3 linked regions of the Medicago truncatula genome follow. The protein of the gene in region 1 binds, or shares a complex with, the protein of each later gene. Links are inferred from orthologs where the notes say so. Each region holds a gene or a part of one and is shown in the gene's direction. Other genes may lie near its edges.

The links. The genes of interacting proteins can lie anywhere in the genome.
Region 2: NAD(P)H-quinone oxidoreductase subunit S, chloroplastic (region 1) and NAD(P)H-quinone oxidoreductase subunit T, chloroplastic share a complex: the UniProt entries of both Arabidopsis thaliana proteins name them as parts of the chloroplast NDH complex. The link is inferred for Medicago truncatula from reciprocal best matches to the Arabidopsis thaliana genes NdhS and NdhT.
Region 3: NAD(P)H-quinone oxidoreductase subunit S, chloroplastic (region 1) and photosynthetic NDH subunit of lumenal location 1, chloroplastic share a complex: the UniProt entries of both Arabidopsis thaliana proteins name them as parts of the chloroplast NDH complex. The link is inferred for Medicago truncatula from reciprocal best matches to the Arabidopsis thaliana genes NdhS and PnsL1.

Annotation. Positions count from the first base shown.
Region 1 is NC_053049.1:12,186,476-12,192,584, reverse strand, and holds NAD(P)H-quinone oxidoreductase subunit S, chloroplastic, read left to right. Parts: upstream 1-4,445; 5' UTR 4,446-4,692; coding exon 4,693-5,427; 3' UTR 5,428-5,521; downstream 5,522-6,109. Other genes in the region: methionine adenosyltransferase 2 subunit beta, read left to right, coding at 1,041-1,259, 2,651-2,810, 2,912-3,099, 3,305-3,428, 3,698-3,828, 3,999-4,130. UniProt on the Arabidopsis thaliana protein: NDH shuttles electrons from NAD(P)H:plastoquinone, via FMN and iron-sulfur (Fe-S) centers, to quinones in the photosynthetic chain and possibly in a chloroplast respiratory chain.
Region 2 is NC_053045.1:11,829,652-11,836,109, reverse strand, and holds NAD(P)H-quinone oxidoreductase subunit T, chloroplastic, read left to right. Parts: upstream 1-4,371; 5' UTR 4,372-4,384; coding exon 4,385-4,776; intron 4,777-5,384; coding exon 5,385-5,802; 3' UTR 5,803-5,857; downstream 5,858-6,458. Other genes in the region: ran-binding protein M homolog, read right to left, coding at 6,270-6,458. UniProt on the Arabidopsis thaliana protein: NDH shuttles electrons from NAD(P)H:plastoquinone, via FMN and iron-sulfur (Fe-S) centers, to quinones in the photosynthetic chain and possibly in a chloroplast respiratory chain.
Region 3 is NC_053042.1:55,806,986-55,814,368, forward strand, and holds photosynthetic NDH subunit of lumenal location 1, chloroplastic, read left to right. Parts: upstream 1-4,518; 5' UTR 4,519-4,646; coding exon 4,647-4,700; intron 4,701-4,783; coding exon 4,784-4,880; intron 4,881-5,037; coding exon 5,038-5,121; intron 5,122-5,209; coding exon 5,210-5,283; intron 5,284-5,647; coding exon 5,648-5,770; intron 5,771-5,851; coding exon 5,852-5,923; intron 5,924-6,029; coding exon 6,030-6,126; intron 6,127-6,483; coding exon 6,484-6,587; 3' UTR 6,588-6,782; downstream 6,783-7,383. Other genes in the region: aquaporin TIP1-3, read right to left, coding at 1,891-2,265, 2,707-2,957, 3,264-3,396. UniProt on the Arabidopsis thaliana protein: NDH shuttles electrons from NAD(P)H:plastoquinone, via FMN and iron-sulfur (Fe-S) centers, to quinones in the photosynthetic chain and possibly in a chloroplast respiratory chain.

The DNA of each region.
Region 1 (6,109 bases):
CGTCTTACAGTGTCTCAGGGTGTGGTCAGATTGAAACGGTTGACCACCTTTTCCTTACATGCTCGACTTTTGGATTGTTATGGCAGCTTGTTCGTGTTTGGATTGGCGTTGTGGGGGTCGATACTAAAAATATTTCCGACCATTTGTTGCAATTTACTTATATGTTAGGTGTTTGTAAAGCTAAACGTTCGTTCTTGGAGCTAATTTGGCTCATGTGTTCTTGTGTTGTCTGGAACGAACGAAACAACCGACTGTTTAATAATATTGTAACCTTAGTCCCTTGTATGTTAGATAAAGTTAAATTGTTATCTTTGGGATGGCTGAAAGCCAAAAATGTCATGTTTGTATTTGGCCAGAGATGGTGGTCAAGTTGTTTAGCTTGTTTGAGCATTGGCTAACACCGATGGTGTTCTCGTGTAGTTGTTAACATTCCTTGTTGTACTTTAGGAGGTTCTAGACACACCTTATGCTTGGAAGCTACTATTTGGTTTGGTTATATTTAATTCTCTCTTGACTTGTTAAAAAAAAAAAACCTTTGTTCAATTTATGTTTTTAATTCTTACAAAATTACAAGCTTTCAAATTGAGTTATTACAAAAAATTATTCATTTTAATTTCTATTTTTATTTATAGGGACTATTTTAAAGAACTAAAAATATAAAATATTTTCAAAATAAAAACTATTCTTACAAACTATAATATTTTGAAGTTCACGTGAACTTAACTGAATTGATATGAACAATGCATTATATATGTAAGGTTCGGGAATCGAACTCCGACCACCACAAAAAAAAAAAACTATAATATTTTAAAGAATTAAAATCACCATTAAAATTTTATAAACATTAAATTTGAAAACTCATGATTTTGTAGAGACTAAAAACACGATTAAAAAGAAAATGTACCCACAAACATAGGCCTAATCCTACGAAAATGTAAAAAAAAATAATAAAAGAATTCAGACACAAAACATTGACCATTACAATTACTACAACGTGAAAGCAATCAAAAGTAAACAAAAAAGAAACAAGAAGAGAAGTGATGAGTAAGAAGAAGATATTGATTGTGGGAGGCACAGGTTACTTGGGTCAGCATCTATTACAATCTTATTATTCTAATCAATCTCTGACAGTGGCATTCACCTATCACTCTTCTCCTCTTCTTCAACCTTTGTTGGATGCATTTCCTGATTCTCAATCTTTCCAAGTCGATTTGAAATCTGGCATTGGATTTGATGCCATTTCCAATGCTTTTGGCCAGGTTCTTTTCTCACTTTTCTAACTTACAATTCAATTGGGTCGTGACAAAACATGATTTTTATTAATGGGCTTGATCTGATTCATTGCAAATTGTAATATGACTTACTGATTTATACGGATTAGTTTGTTTAGTTTATCTACCAGTTTATGATATGTGCAGAAGTTGTTTTCAACTTATTTTCATAAGCTTGAACCAGGATAACTTATGAAAACAGCTTATAGCTTATATGAAAATATATTTCTTTTTTATATAAATATTTTATACAAAATCACTTTTGTGATAAGAGATTATACTATAAGCACCTACTTAAACTGTTTATCCAAACATGTTAGTGTATGTAAGATTGAATTGAAGTCGTATATGCTATGTTTGAGATAACAATTTAGTCTAAATTTACCAAAAGTACTTTTACAAGTTGGAAAATCAATGCAGTTTACTTTTTAAAAATATTTTTTATTTTTCATAAATTTGTGTTAGTTTTACTTTTTTTTTAACAAAAAAACAAAATTCGCCCACCGTGGGGCTCGAACCCACGACCACAAGGTTAAGAGCCTTGCGCTCTACCAACTGAGCTAGACGGGCTTGGTTGTTTTTGTTTCACTTGTTAATAAAGAGAAAGGAGAATGTTTGAACATGTATTCTTACTTCCAAAAATGCATATCACCCTAGCTACTTTTTTTTATTTTTTTTTATATCATCTCTTCATTACATTGACTAACTTCAAAATCAAAAGTTTCTCATCTTCTTATTAGTAAGTTAAAGTGAACATGTCTTCTTATTTGCTAGTTAAAAATGAACACATTTTATCTTCCATTCACCCTAAACATGCACTTCCTCCATTAGCAGCCCTTACTTTCATTCATACTTGAAGTTGAATTTAATTAAAAAAGGGTTTTTCTATCATCTGCAAACTTGCACATGTTAAGAAATTTAAAGTAGTAAGTTTGTATTGGAACTTGAACATTTTATATTAAATATATAACTTTTTAATAAATACTTGTGGTTTTTCAATAAAAAGTTGCTACTTTTAGTTTCTTTAACATGTGCAATGTTGCACATGTTAGACAAACCCATTAAAAAAATATAAATCTAACGCTACATGCTTTTGAAGTTTCAGAGTTCGTGTTTATATAAGAAAAAGGCTGTTATCTCCTTTACCTCTCAATTTGATAGTCACTCATTATTCTTGCTATACCAGTATGAAAATGGATTTGTGTGCTACGCAAACGCATGTATCTCGCAGAAATAAAGAGATAAAGCATGTTTGGTTTGGTCTTTTATGTAACAAATTTTCAAACATCTATAAGTTGGATAGATGCCAGTTGCTTACAAATAAGAGTTTAAGCTTTTAATATTGGATTGACAATTCTCTGTTTGTTTGTTAATGGCAGCCTGATGTGGTTGTCAATTGTGCTGCCATCTCGGTGCCTCGTGCTTGTGAAAATGATCCTGATACTGCAAATGCTATTAATGTGCCGTCATCCCTCGTAAAATGGTTGCAAAGCTTTAAACAGAACAGTACTCTTCTCATTCATCTCTCCACAGATCAAGGTAAACCAATCTAATCGCAATCAATACATTGCATTGCTATCTATAACCATGCTCATTTTCACTTTGATAGCTAAACTGCAATTTATGTTTCTTCTCATTAGTTTACGAAGGTGAGAAGTCCTTTTACAAGGAAGAAGACATTCCTATTCCAGTAAATGTTTATGGAAAAACTAAAGTGGCAGCAGAGAAGTTCATTTCAGAAAACTTCCCAAACTTTGCGATTTTGAGAAGCAGTATCATCTATGGGCCACAAACTGTCTCACCAGTTCCAAAATCTCTTCCTATTCAGGTGCATGTGCAGTATATAGAATTATACTTTATTTGAAAACTAATGCTTCCAGCATTAGGATCGATGAAACTTGAAATGTGAATGATGCTTGCAAATTCTGTTACTTATTGCATGATGAATTCTTAAAAGACGGTGGTAGTGTTTGGCTCACCATTTTTCCGTCTGCAATAAAAAAAATAACTGAGAAAATCTCTTATTATTGCAGTGGATTGACAGTGCCCTTTCTAAAAGAGAAAAGGTGAATTTCTTTCACGACGAGTTCCGTTGTCCAATTTTCGTTAAGGATCTCGTAACTATCATACTAGCTTTAACAAGCCAGTGGTTATCAGGTACAGAACTTTTTGTAAATAACTCGTGTATATTGTTTAAACATGTGGTACGCTGCAAAAAGAGATTCTTAATGAAACTGATTTTCAGTTAGATCTTTTTTAAGGTTTCAAAACACTTTTATTGGAGATGGTCAATCCTTATCTATGAAAATTGTTTATATCTTATAACTCTTTTACAATTATGTACGACATTTTCACTTTCATGTGTTCTTTAAACTTGAGGGGTCTCAAATTCGCTTTCATGATTTGATTTCTGATTCTTGTCACAGAGGGAAAGCAAATGCAGTTGTTACTTAATGCCGGTGGACCTGATAGGGTATCGCGCGTTGAAATGGCTGACGCTGTTGCACAATTCAGAGGGTATGATACCTCATTAATCAAAGCAGTCTCTGCTTCAACGGTATGTGTTATGCTTCATTTATAACTAAAATTTTGTGATGTGGAATTCAAAGCTTTTCATTTATCTTTTGATGTCAATTTGATCAGTTTGGTAACATGATATGATTTATCTGCTCGTCTTTGATTGTTCTTTATTGCGACATTTTTGAGTTTTCGTTATTGTTTTTCCAGGTTGACCGAGGTGTGAAGTCCCCGGCTGACATATCTATGGATATCACTAGATTGGTTCAAACTCTAAATATTAATCCTGTTTCATTTAAAGACGGTGTTAAATTAACGCTTACAACTGAAGCTCAACAGTGAGGCAGAAACAAACTTGTCGTATAAGGCTTCCTTGTTTATTTGAGTATCGTTGTTCACCATTAAAAATGACATGTGCTCTCAATAGTTGTTACTGCATTTAGATTGCTGTAAAATAAATCTATGTAAATTCTTGAAAATACCAAGAATGGAAATAGTGGGTCATCATTGTAACACACTCTTTCCATCATGTGTCATTATCATGGGAATTATGTCATACTTTTCATTAGGCTTGAAAATATGTTGCCTTGGCTTTTCACTGCTATAATTTCTCATGATAAATTGTGTGTTTGGATTACTTTAATTTGATGCTAAAATGAATTTAATCATAAGGTTATGTTGCAAAAAAATTCTTTCCTCATATAGGCAAATTTGGTCCAAAGAATATACTTTGTGGTCAAGATTAAATTGGAAGAAGATTTTCTGATAGTTTTTCATTTCATAAAAAGATAGGCCTATCCAATAATTTTGTGGCCAGGATTAGATTCTGAAACTATGCTATCCATCCCTCTTTCTCCTCTCTCTAATGTTGTTTTCAGCCAATTTTCTGAACAGTTAATTAAAAATGTCTTCCTTTGTTGCTCTTCATAGCCTTCATGGCTCTCTTCTTAGATCCAAATTCTTAGGCCAAGAGAACCTCACTCATCTTTATCCTCACAGCAATAAAGCTTCCATCTTTCACAGCAAACCGACCTTCAAAACAGTACAAACATGTGCCAAATTCGACTTGCTGCAGATCATGGGAGGCAGAGGTCTCTGCAAAGGAGAAGAAGGTCTTCAAAAAGAGCTTAAAAGAGAAGTTGGTCTTGATGATCAGAATCAGCCAACATCATCAGAAGCAAGTGACAAAGAACAAGAAGACTCAACAAGTAACTCAACAAAATCCTTTGAAAGTGTTGCAGAAGACGGGTTTGATAAAGAGTTAATGGGGTTAACCGGAGGATTTCCTGGAGGTGAAAAAGGTTTGAAAAAATTCATTGAAGAGAACCCTCTTCCTAAAACTGTTAAAGGAAACAAAAGCCTTAAACTTTCTTCATCGGAGAAGCCAAAACCACCGGAACTTCCTATGTTACTTCCAGGAATGATTGCTATTGTGAAGAATCAAAATAATCCTTTTTACATGTACTGTGGTATTGTTCAAAGAATCACTGATGGTAAAGCAGGAGTACTGTTTGAAGGAGGGAATTGGGATAAGTTGATCACCTTTAGGCTTGAGGAACTTGAGAGAAGAGAAAAAGGTCCTCCTATGAAGAATCCTAAGTCTTGCGTTCTTGAACCATTTCTTGTAAAGAAATCATAGTTTTCAGCTCTTTGTTGTTATTGTGTAACAAAACATGTTCACTTTTGTATCATACTACATGTTTCTGACAATTGAATCTTAGTTGTGTATTTCATTTGCTGCTTTGATCTTTTATTTAGAAGTAAAAAAAGTTTAAGGTAAAAAGATATGAAGCACACATGTAGTAGACACTACGTTGACACAGACATGTTAAAGTAGTAATAATAATTTGAAAAATAAAAGTAATTAAATGTAACTACATATGTTAGTGTCGGACACTGGACACCTTTGATGTGACGTTGGTGCTAAAAGAGTATTTCATTGTGCTGAACCTTTCTTAATACTCTTTAATTTTGGTACATGTTCATGTAAAGAATGGATGGAGTATTAACAACTTACGGTTTCTGTTAAGAACAAAATCAGTTTATGTGCTACTTTCAAAGTTATTGCAATAAAGTCAAATATTGTAATGATATGATAATTTTGAATGATTATCGATATTGTTATTGTTTAATTTTATATAAGATTGATGATTTCAGGATTAAATTATTGAAAAAATATATTTTAGGATTAAACCTTAGACGAAATTTAATGATTCACTTATTAGAAATAAACATATTCTCTTGACCAAAAAAAAAAAAAAAAGAAATAAACATATTCAACGTTAATCAGTTGGATCATGATATTGGATTAAACAATAATT
Region 2 (6,458 bases), on another chromosome or scaffold:
AAATTATCTTTAGTTGTCAGTCTATTGCGTAAGAGCCACTACGCAAACACCAACACCTTCAAGGGGACATGTTTATGGCAAAAGAGATTCAGAACTGATGAAGTTGGACCAGGAGCGTAGCTAGTAAAAAACTGATACTCACCACTAACTGAATAACCAACAGCTAGATCCAACTTCCAAAGCCATTGATCATCATGTTCAACCTGCAAAGTTACGGTTTGAAGTAAAATCCTACACTCCCTACGAGCTCCTCCTTCCTACACCAACAACCGACATCTCCACTTCCACGCATCACCACCCTCACCCCAGCCTATCGAAAACATATCTGCAACCGACAACCACTTGTGCTTAGACAACTCAAACAATCTATGAAATCGATCTCATTACGATAAATCACCCAAACCACTGATCCATCCAAAAAAAAATGTATTATCTCCATTCCCAATCTCCGGACTAATATTGTCCTAAACCAACCTCCCATATCGTGAGACCTACACCATTACGAATTTGTACCATCTCCCTCCACCAAGCACACACGTCCCTCCCTTCGTCCTTCAAACAACTCCTCTCCACACCTTACCTCTTAGGATAAATTTTTTGTCTTGGTTAGCGGACAAAATGGCAAACACAACTTGATCAACTTCACACATACAATATTGAATTATTCAACCTAACAATTTCGACGTTGTAAGTTGAGTTAATTAAGTTTTACGGACTTTTAAATAAAACTCTTAATTGAATGGATATAATAAAGTATAATAGAGGATTGAATTATTGTAAAAGAAAGAGAAAAAAAAAAAAGACAGGATTGAATATCTTATTTTATTGTTAACAAATTTGAATTCAACAGATATTAAATTGAGATCAGATATGGCTTTTTAGAATAATTATGTGCTTATCATTCCATATCACCACCATGTTGAGTCGCATATCATTTAAAATATGTCATGTCATTATTTTTTTAGTCAAAGACTATATGAAGGAGAACAAAACTGCAAGATTTTAAAATAAAATAAGAGAATCAATTTCAGCATAACTACAATTAAGTCTATTTTATAGGTTTTTCTAATGAGTGTCTCCGATCACATTAGTTGGCATTTCTCCTATCTTATGTTTTATTATTGATCGCATCTTCCTCATTAAACCTACCCTTGATGCTTACGATTTATCTGACTTTTGCTCCATGCGAATATTCTTATTGATTTAGTTCAATAATCTATGCGTGATTATGTACGTTAATATTTTTTTATGCTATAAATATGAGACATAAGTTTCACCAGTTTTGCAAAGAAATATGGCTTTAAAGGTTGAGACTATCCTTCTTGTCCTCGTTTGTGGTAAATCTTGAACCCACCATCTCTCTTCCTTCAACATAAAGTTTTTTTTTTTCATTTTGCTTCTTCTTTTAAGTAGTTGTTTTTGCAATTTATGCTATACTTTGTTTTTTTATAGATATAGAAAGATATTGAACTGAATTTAGCTTAACATTGAAACTAACATGTGTCCTAAACATAATTAGGGCATTCATCTTATCTCGAGTTTTGAATTAGATCGTCTTGTTCCATTTTCCTCTCCATCTATCTCATAACTCTTTTATCTCTCTTTAAATCTCACATTATATGAGAGAGCCTTTGTTTGTTACATAGTTTCAGTTTGACTTGTTCAAAAGAAAATATATTATATTTAGAATATATTTTTAGAAACCGGTGCATTAAACGTAAAAAAAAATGCTCGGCATAAAAAATGATATGTTTAGCTAAGTATTTTCGAAAAATAAAAAGGTCTAATTATTAAGTAATTAAGGCTCCTTCAAAAAAATAAAGCAATTGTTCAGTTCAGAAATCAAAAACGGATTCTCCCGAATGATTCGTCTTTGGTGAAACTCTTAAACACTTGAACTCAACTGTTTGGTTTAAGTAATTAAGTTTGATATAACAAACGGGAGCTCAAGATAGGTTGAGTTATAAATCGTGGACAAAGAGTCTAACTTAAATACATACCTAAGATGAAAATTACCTAATTAAACTTTGGTGAGGATGCTAATTAGAGTCTCCTTTTTTTCTGAAAATAAAAATTATTTGATCAAATTATATATATACCAATCTGACTTTCTTTTTATGATCCCAGGTGCAATTTTTTCAGGAGGGAATTTGAAAAATGTTGATGCACAAAAAATTTGCCCACAATTTTGTTATGATACAGTTGCATACATGACTTGCCCTTCTACAGGTGGTCAACACCTCTACCCAAAATGTAATTGTTGTCTTGCATCAATTGGATGTATACTTTATGAAGCAGATGGTACTCCTATTTGTACTGCTGTTTGAAATATAGTTGTGATGTGAATGTCTGTTCACATACACAAAGATCACTCCTCTCAATTTCAATAATTATGTTGTAATATGTGTGATAAAAAATTATAGTAATTTAAAACTATAGGTTTAAATTGTTTTCCTTGCATCAAGTGTGGATGTACAATTTAAAAAGCATATGGAACACTTATTTGTAACATGGATGTTGTTGTTGTGTGCAATTGTGAGTTATATGTTCTACATCAGATAAAATAGTGGAGGTTGAACACTTTATAAGTGAGAGGATCCATATATTCATTGCCTTAGAGTGTATTTGGATGGGGGAATGTTTTAAGGGAATGTAATGTTTTGAGGGAATTCAACAACTTTGAGGTTTTTGGTAAGAGTGTGTGTCTCTCTCACTTATGTGGTTGTTCAAGTCTCGATGTGAAAGGTCCTCCAACTCCCCTCAGTGACCCGACAGATGTGATGTGAATATCCATTCACATACCCAACAAAGATTACTCTTCTGAATTTCAATAATTATGTCCTAATATAAAGATTAATTCTGAATTTCAATAAGGGAAATGTTAACTTGTGCCTTAATAGAAATTATGTTATCGGAAATTGCGTTAATTTATTGCTTAAAAAATCTAATATTAATTTTTTTCAATTAATACTTACCGTTAATGGCAAGAATTTAATGTTTAACATAATATATGTGCAGTAAGAAATTATAATAACTTGTAATATTAATAATACAAACGATTATAGGCTTATATTTCATGCTTTATGTCTTTAATATTTCATTGTATTTTGGGTTCAATATTGAAACTGTTTGGGAGAATTCATGACAACAACTTATGAGTTATGACAATTTTCATAAGCTATTTTTAACTTGTTTTTCATAAGTTCTCCGATAAATCTTATAAAAATAACTTATAGTATATACAAAAATGATCTAAAGTTATTTTATCTTTTGCTATAAAAATAGTTTATCAAGATAAGTGCTTGTGCTGTTACTTATAAGTTGCAAATTAATAAGTTCTTTATCCAAACAGGCTCAATGTCAACCAAAAATAAAAGTATATATTAGAGCACCAACAATGGAGGCACCCATTTTTTGGTACTTAAATGAGTCTCACGTGTACATATCACTTATTTACTCCCTTCGTTTTTAAATATAAACAAAATTGACTTTCTAGATTCATTTATTTAAGGGTCAATAATGTTTTTCATCCCTGTAATATATGTCATTTCCAGTTTTCGCCCCTATAAAATTTTCGGTTTGATTTGCACCCACATAAAAATTTTATTTTTCGGAAAACACCCTTAATAGGCCATTCAAAAACCAAAATTTCTTGAAAAAAAATTATGAAAATGACCTATTAGGGGTGTTTTCCGAAAAATAAAAATTTTACGAGGGTGCAAATCAAACCAAAATTTTTATAGGGGCGAAAACTGGAAATGACATATATTACAGGGGTGAAAAGCACTATTAACCATTTATTTAATGATGTATGTGGTTCATAATATAGACCACAAACATCATTAAATGAATGAACCTAAAAAATAAATTTTGCTTATATTTAAAAACGGATGGAGTATAATTTTTTAATAGTAGTACCTAATAAGTATTCAATCCCTCCAACCAACCCAGCATCTCACACAAATTTCTTAAATGAGACGCATTAATCAATTATTAATAATTTTATATCATTATATTTTAATTTTATAATATTAAAAGAGTGTGGGCCCTGCTTAAGATTGAGGGTCTTAAGTGAAACCCCGGGTCTTATAAGACGCCAAAAAAGTTTCTCCCTAATGAAGATACCTAATAGGTACCGAGTTTTAAATGTTGATGACCCTGCCATTGGAGATGATCTTATAGACCAACTTGTCAATATTTAAACAGGTTATTACTTAATTTTTTCACTTGATAAATAATTCTTGTAAATAATAAAAAAAAATATATATGTTCACATAATTATATTAGAATATAGTTAAATAATTCGTCTTTAATTTAATTAAAATTAATATTACAAATTCCATGTCCCAAATTTATTGTGAACCACAAAATAACAGAACAGAACATGGGGCATGTATTGAACCTGAGCATTCCAAAATCTAACCATAACTATTTCTTTTGTTCCACCCTCATGGCTTCAACAGCAACACCTTCTCCACAAATTCTACTATTCAATCCAATCTTAGGAAACACCAAAACAATAAGAAGAATAAGAATTTTTAGGATAGCAAGAACCTCAAACTCTCACTACAGTTTCCAAGTTCATGCTTCTAAGGACTCTCAAGGACCACAAAAAGCACCACCTGGAATTGACACAAGAATCCATTGGGAGAATGATGATGAAGGTTGGATTGGAGGTAGCACCAAACAGCAACAAACAAATGCAGAGGAGAAACCTAAGAAGCTTTTGGGTGAAGACTTTGCTGATTTGCTCAATTTTCAAGGTTCTCATTATGAGTGAGTTTCTTTATAACTGTTTCCTACAAAAAGTATAAAACACCAAAATTTTGCCTTGAAATTCAATTTTAAACTAGAAGTTAGTATAAGTATGTGTTTGGATTAGCTTTTGCAAGACAAATATCATGTTCCGAGGCAAGCTAGACGTGAAAATCCTGAAGCTACAAAAGCAAGGTTTTGTAGAAACATGGAAACTTACCGTGATTTTATAAAAACCACCGCCAAACCAAACGAACACTAAGTGTAACTAAAGCGTTTCAGCTAAAGTTGAATAGTTTGGATGCGACTTGAGTTCAAATGTTCGCTAAAAGGCTAAAACAACTAATTTTGACATAATCAATACATGTTTTGGGTTAAGAGAAAAATAATTAAGGGTTTGTTGCATTGTAAACTGAATTTTCCAGAATGAAGTTTATTTAAACTCAAGTTTAGTCAAGATACTATTATTCAATTCTGTTTTTCTTTAAAGAACATGATAATTTCTTTTCTTTTTAAAAATAAAAACTTGTGCATAAGTTGCTAACTTATGAGTTGCCAGAGATTTGGTTTCATGAGAAACTTGTTTATTTAAATGACAATAGTTACTGAATAATGGAATATTTGTGCAGATTCTTAGGAATATCACCAGAAGCTGATGTAGAAGCAATCAAAATGGCATTCAGGAAACTATCAAAGGAGTATCATCCAGACACAACTTCACTCCCTCTAAAAACAGCCTCAGAAAAATTCATGAAATTAAAAGAAGTTTACACTGTTCTGAGCAATGAAGAAAGTAGGAGATTCTATGATTGGACACTTGCTCAAGAGGTTGCAAGTCGCCAACAAGAGAAATTGAAAATAAAATTAGAGGATCCTTATGAGGTAGCTTTGAAGAATTATGAACCTGTTCCAGACATGGTTGATCGTCTTGGTGGAAAGAATATGAAGCTTAGTGATCAAGCTGTTTCAGCTATCACTATTGATATTTTTATCATTATTTTTTCCATATGTTGTATCACTTATGTAGTTTTCTTTAAAGAATACTGATATCTGTAAATTTGTATATGTGATGCTATAGAAGTAAAGGAAAAAATTCACAACACCTGAGGACCTATTTGATTTCTGTTTTCAACTTTACTTCAAAAATTGTTTTTATTTTAATATAAAAACATTTTTTCAAACAGTAAATAAACGAATATAAGAGACCAATTTTCTTTTATAGCTAAGATTGAATACAGAAGCACAACAAAACAGAAACAGAAGCTTGTATATTTTACAGCTAAAATTGAAATCATGACTAGTTCAATTTCTAATTTCCATCGTTTTGATTATTAAAAAGTTACAAACTTACATGCATATACAAAACCCACCCCCTTAAAAGATAGTCTACATGTACATAGGTGGGAGGACTCCGCGGCATGAGACCCGAAGATCAATTTGATCATTTGGCATTGTTACAAAACCAAAAAGGGTGATATGAACAGCAGAGTTAGAAGATCAATAGAGATATAGCACTAGCTTCTTTTACCACTGCTAAGCACTCTCTGAAGTTGAAAAGCTTCTCCTTGCTCTCCACTCAACGATCGTCTCTCTAAGCAACATGCAGTGAGCTGTCTTAGTAACCTCTCGAGATTGGAGTGCAAGCAATTTTTCGTTACTTTTATGTTGGGATTTGTAGACAATATCATTGCATTTACTGCGTC
Region 3 (7,383 bases), on another chromosome or scaffold:
CCAAGTTTTGCTAAATTATTTTAGAACGCAATCTAGAATATTTTGGAACACAATCTAAAATATTTTGGTAGAAAATCTAATATATTTTAGTGCTTGATCTGAAATATATTTTGATACTCAATAATATATATTTATGTACTGAATAACATATTTATGTACTGAATAATATATTTTTGTACTCAATATGATATATTTTGGTAGACAATCTAATATATTTTAGTGCTTGATCTGAAATATATTTTGATACTCAATAATATATATTTATGTACTAAATAACATATTTATGTACTGAATAATATATTTTTGTACTCAATATATTTTGGTAGACAATTGGCATATTTTTGTACTAGATGAATTACTTGTTCCCAAAGTTTCTCACCTATTAGTTGTGAAGTTTCTCTATAAATAGAGGGCTCATACAATGCATTCAACACACCGAAAACACAGTTGATGATTCCTGTGTTTTTCCTCTCTTCTCCCTTCTTCGACTTGTCTTGACGAGTCTTTCTTCTTTTTCTACTCCTTTCTGTCCTTTTCGGTTTCAAGGTATTTATTTTTTATTTTATTTTGCTCTTAAGTTATAAAAAATGAAAAAAAAATTAGATTATGTTAAGAGATTTTGTGGTGATCCAACCTCACTACAAAATTCTCATGCTTTAGCTTTAGGTTTTATTTATCATTCAAAATAACAAAAACATCCAAATAACAAAAACCACCAAAAATATTTTTTTACAATAAATCTTGATCTTAAATCAAGTGACCGTCTTTTTATTTTATTTTTTTAATCAAATTTCAATCAACTTAATTCTACTTCAAGTCCATTTTCTTTTAAATTAAAAAACACAAACAGATTCTTATTTGCCACTTGACTTTTCATTTTAAAACCTTTTTCAAAACTAATAAAAAAACACAAAACCGATCAAACGTCAATTTCTACCCCGAACTACGAGGTTTTAATCCCTCATGGGTACGTAGGCAGAGGACCATGTCCTTCCAAATCAAATAAAAATAACCAAAAACATATTTCTTCTCCCTCCATTCTTTCACTTAGATTTTTAGGTAATAATTTTTCAAATAAGCAAATGAATTTAGCACAAGATAATCTAGGTAAGAGGTTCCTATGGAATATCATAGACGCTTAGGGTGCTAGCACCTTCCCTTTGCGTAACCAACCCCCGAATCCAGGTCTTAAAGGTTTTTACTCATTTTTTCCCTCCCACGAATAAAAATCGAGAGTTCAAAGATTGAAGGTTCAAAACCAATCAATGGCTTGATACCCGAAAATCACGAGCACAGATAGCATTCTATTATATAGCATGTCTTTTAAAATGATCGAAATAAATCTACATAAAAATATGCACAGATTTTGTAGAACCGAATCTGATGGCGTTTTTCTTGTTGGTCTTTTTGAATGATGATATTATATTGATCATTTCCTCTTGGATTTTTGTTTTTGGTGGAAGATGATCCTCTTGACTTGGTCATCAAGAAACCTCTCAAGTCGGACTAGTTTAGCATTATTAATTAATCATCTTGTGCCATATGGTCAGGTCACAGTGCATATCATGAAAACATGCCTCCAAAATGCATGTCCAATGCTATAATTTATTTTCAATCATTATTAAATTTAGGTTAGATTAGACAAGAATGAACAAATTCATTTTTTTTTTTACCTTTCTCTTTCAGCTTATTAAAATTAAAATACTATCAGTAACCAACATTTATCCATTTTGGCACTATAATGTAATGAACAAATATTGGTAATCACTTCTAGGCAATAAAAATATTGAATACTCCCTAAAGATTCTACTGCAGTATTATTGATCCCTCAATAATATGTAGAGGGACCAGAATACATGAAATAAAGAAGAAGAAAAAATAATAAAAATTCTAGAAGTCACTATTTGAAAGGGGTTCATGAACGTGATCAGCAATGAAGATATTATTATAGAGAATGGCAGCAGTAGCTGAACCAATGAATGGGCCAACCCAATAGACCCAATGATGAGTCCATGTTCCACTAACAACAGCAGGCCCGAAAGACACAGCTGGGTTCATTGATGCACCATCAAAAACACCACCAACCAAGATATTTGCACCCACAATACAACCAATTGCTAATGGTGCTACAACACCAACATTCCCTCTCTTTGGGTCTATTGCTGTTGCATAAACTGTATATACTAATCCAAATGTCATCACAATCTCAAAAACTAATGCATTCCACACAGACACACCAGAGGATAGAGCAAAACCTGATGTTTCCTGCATATATATATATATATATATATATAAAATCTAAATGTAGCACTGATATCTCAAATTCAACTAGTGTTCAATTTCTGTTTTATAGTTAAAATCCACTTTTGATCTTCTAATTATTATTGAATTAAGATTTTAGTCCACTCGTTCTAAATCTCAAAATTTAGTTCACTTCACAAGTTTTTGAATTTTTCTCAACTACCTGATTTTGAGCTTAATTTTTCTTATATGTCATCTTTCATTAACGACATGGAAATACATTTCATGATATGGTGATGGTGATTTAAATTAAATCTTAATATGTTATTATCCAATTCAACATTGCCACGTCATCAAATGTATTAACAAGAGAACACATCAACAAAATTAAACTAAAAAGTGCATTTGAGCCTATATTTTAAATTAGGTGAAGGAAATGCATGTGTAGTAGATTCATTTAGTTACCATTCCAGCAGTGCATGAATTGAGAAGAATGCAAGCAACAACTGCACCAAGTAACTGTGCAATCCAATACAAAATACTTCTCAAGAAGGTAATGTTTCCTCCAATGAAAGCACCAAATGTGACTGCAGGGTTCACATGTCCACCAGAAATGTTTGCACCAACAGAAACAGCCACAAATAACCCAAATGCATGAGATAATGATGCAACTATGAGACCTTCAGGAGTGGCAGCTCCATTGTTTGTAAGTTTATCTGCCACAATAGCCAACAAGCTATATATCTTCAAATTCTCAACAATTCTAAGGCATTGAAAAATAATTATCTTCTAATGTCACAAAATAAGTTTCTAAAACACTTATTGCTTACAATAAACTAACTAATAATTCGTTTTCAACGCTCTATCTTTTTATTGAGTGAAATTATCGTACATCTCACCACTTCATTTAAGATCTATTTCTAATATCAATCAATAATTGAACGAGTATAAAAAAGATAATGTTAAAAAATGTATATGTAATAATATGTAATACTCTTCAAAAAGTTATCTATATTACTCACTATAGGCCATGCCAGAGCCTTGGCCAGCAAAAACAAAAATGAGCATAGAGAAGAACTCTGCAAAGGCTGCTCTAATTGCAGCAGGATTGCTAGCCTCTCTAGGAGACCCAATTGCTATTCTGTAGATTGCCATTAATTAATTAAATCAACCTTAACATACAGAAACAGAAGAAATGTGTTTTTGTTAATTTTATTAATTTTTCTAAGAGTGAAAATAAAGTGTGAGAGCTAATCATTTGGTGTTTAAACAACAAAGGTAAGTATTAACGGCTAAAGAAACGGTCTCATTCAATTGTTTAAGGGTAAAGACCATGTAGAATCAGTTTATACAGCCTAAGAGTTTGTCACATGATTACTATTTTTGGCTCTTGTTTTGTGGCTGTGATGTAACTGCATGGTAAGATCAAAGGGTTGAGAATTTAGATAGTTAACTTCATGTATTCACCATTGCAACAATTTATCTTTATAAATTGACCGGCCATGATGTCATTGAAATCAACAATGAAACTTGACAAATAATTGACACAAATTGCACAAATTCATTTAGTTCACAAATTTTGGTATCCTCCTTACCCAACTACATAGTAATAGTATATTCCCTTCCTTCCAAGTTGTTTCTCACAAATACTAAGTGCACAATATTTACTAATGGATTTTGGAGGATTTTTCTTTGCAAAATTCGTTCGGTGCAGGCAACTCCAAAGGTCTAGTTCAGTGGTAAAAAGACAGACCCTCTTGGATTCGAGTCTCATTAATACTTTTGCAGAGAGGTAAATATACATACCTTTGAACCCGTCACTTTAAATTTCTCGACCACTAAAAAAAAATCACTCGGTGAAAAAAACTCCCTTCCTTCCAACTCTATAACCAGAAACTTTGGAATGAAAAATAATTAGAAAAATATTATTATTTTTTAAAAAATAATAAAAAATAATAATATCAAATTTTAAGTTTTTTTTTAACATATAGTTTCTGAAAAACTCAAAAAAATCTGATAAAGAAACACAAATATTTTTTGTTTTTCTGAAATATTTTTTAACAAATAACTAATACAATCTGGAAATTTAAAATTTGAATTTTATAAGTATAAATACATAAAAAAAAAAAATTAAGAACAAAATGTGGATATTATATGTTTTGTGCGTATAGAAGATCCAGCTGAGGGGGTATAGGAAAGATTTTTCAAATAATTAAGATAAAATAATAGTTGAGAAGAGACATTATCCAATTAAATGAAAAAAAAAAAAAAAAATAACAAGTTTCATTCTTGTCACATGACCACAAACTCCTAGCCACATCACAAGGTCTAAATTCTACTTACTATCCACTCAGTATTTCTTTCCATCTCAAAACTGAAGCTCTATACCACTCTTCTTCACCACTATGGTAGTTTCTTCTTGCTCTTTAACCTGGACTTCATCCTACTTATCCCATAAGGTGTGTTCATGATATATTTTGTTTTCTTCATTGCATTCACACTATGTTCTTTATACATAAACAGCTCATGTGAACTGTTTCAGCTAAACTTGCCACATTCAAATCATTTGCTTCGGAATACTACAACTTCATCTTCTAACAATGTCTCTTGTGCAATGGAAACAACTTCCAGTACAGAAAGTAAGAGCTTAATCTGTGCTTAAAATAACTACTATCAAGTTTACATTGACTTTACAATGAGCATGTCAGTGTTTGTGCTAATCAAGAATCAACACTTATCAGAAGTAATCTACCTTTATCAAAGCTTGATCTGAGTTTTCTTTTTATTTATTATTAGGACACTGCCAGAGAAGACCACTTCTGTTGGGTATAGGAGCATTAACAGCAAATTTGCTACCAGCAAATTCACTCTTAGCTGAAGGTATTCATAATAACATCTTTGTTTGGATATGTAAAGAGGAGTCACAATCTTCTGAAATTTTGAAATTCAATTAGTCCTTATTTTGTAGAAATACCAGACAGATACCGATCTTTTGTCGACTATGAAGATGGATATTCTTACATTTATCCCTCAGATTGGAAGGTAAAATTCATCATATTGGTTCACAAAATGTTATTCCGTTGTTTTCATATTAACTATCACATTTGAAATATTTGTCCACCTCATCATCTCTCATTTTAAAATATCAATGAAGCATTGATTAAGTTTTTTCACAAATATACATTTATTTATTGTATCTCAGCTTAGTTATATATTCGCGTAACTATATTAATAAGGGTGCTTCAGTATATTGCGTTGATTTTATCACATGAATTAGTACACTCAATGATCTTTGTAAGTGTTTGTGTAATGTTGATCAAAACTTAAGATAAGACAGAGGAATTAGTTTCAACAACCAAATAATTTTCTACAAGTTTGTCACTTGTCTGGGTGATCTTTTCCCTAGGAATTTGACTTCAGGGCACACGATTCTGCATTCAAAGACAGATATTTACAGTTACAAAATGTAAGGGTGAGATTCATACCAACTGAGAAGAAAGATATCAGAGATTTGGGTCCAATGGAAGAGGTGATTATGATTTAGATTCTGTCTTAATGTTATGGAGTCTAATTTATAGTTATACACTTAGCCAGTTTGCGTCTTAATCAGGTTATAACTGATTTGGTGAAACATAGATATACTGCACCAAACCAAAGACCAACAATATATGACATGCAAGAGGTTTCTCATTTCATTTCTTCTCCAATTTGTTTTTTTCAAAAGAATATTGTAGGTTTTGATGGCCAATGCATATTGACAAACAATCATTTCTGAATTCTGAATGCAGCGGACGATAGATGGAAAACATTATTATACAATGGAATATGTACTTACATCACGAAATTACGCTAGTGCCTCCTTTACAACACTTGCCATAGGAAATGGTAAGTAGTCTACCATCTCAAATCTCAGTGTGATATCCAATAAATGTTCTCTCAAAGAAAAGCTAACTCAATATATACTTCTCTGTCCTGTTAGATAATACAACAAGAATCTTCATATAGAAAAATGATTATAAGTGACACAGGTAGAAAATTAACAAAGAATGTGCAACCCAGATAGAGAGACAACATTGAGAAGACTAATTATTCAAATGAAGCCAATTTCTTCGAAATTACACGACTTCAGTGTCATAAAAACAGATTATACTGTTAATATACAGAAGTTCAACTGCATGAGTTTTCAATGCAATCAAAGGCTCCTTATGTAAACTAATAAGTAATAACATTCATTCTGTACAGGAAGATACTACACATTAATTGTGGGAGCCAATGAAAGACGATGGAAAAAAGTACGAGATCAGCTTAAAGTGGTAGCAGACTCCTTTAGGCTCCTTGACATCTGAAATGTTACATGACAATGCAAGACATGTTCCAATTTTTCCTTACACGTCAAGATTGAAATATATGTAAATTTTTGCAAGTGAATGATATCATCTTCATCTATATCATACAAATACAAAAGCTCAGTTTCTGTATTGCATACAGAGGCCATCCACTTTGACACATACATTGCATGTGAATATGATAAACTTTATAAATCACTGAGAATTACAGAAGGATGTAGGTTGCCATCAAAAAGTTTTTAGTTTATAAAAAAACGCTATAAAATCATGAGAAATTTTTTGTGCCAAACAGATCTATTTTAAAGAAATGAACTTATACCCTATTTAAGATATCTGATATATGCTCATGAATAGGCCTTGCCAAACAGATTATATAACAAGGCACTAAACTGTCTCACTCACTGCTACCTTCAAAGTCACATAACCATCACCACTTAAGAGGTGAAGAAAATTGTAATGAATATAATTTTTTTTCCTTTCTTTCTTGATGATACTAATCCAATTTCAATTGTGAAAGCCAAGACGACCAAGACACCAAATCCAAACAGACACAAAATACATGGAAGTTAAGGGCAATATAACTAACAAGTACTATACCACATGCTATCATTGGTTTTATACCTCATTTCACCTGAAAGATAGTTGTGGCCATGAGGGTAATGAATAGATAGAAAACTTGAGATGACAATTGCAGTAATAGTAATATAAAATGGAAAGAGATTAATCATAGTCCTTCATTTGATAACATGAAAGTTATACTCTAGTTATTTCATCAAGCAAAATAAAAATAAAAAAT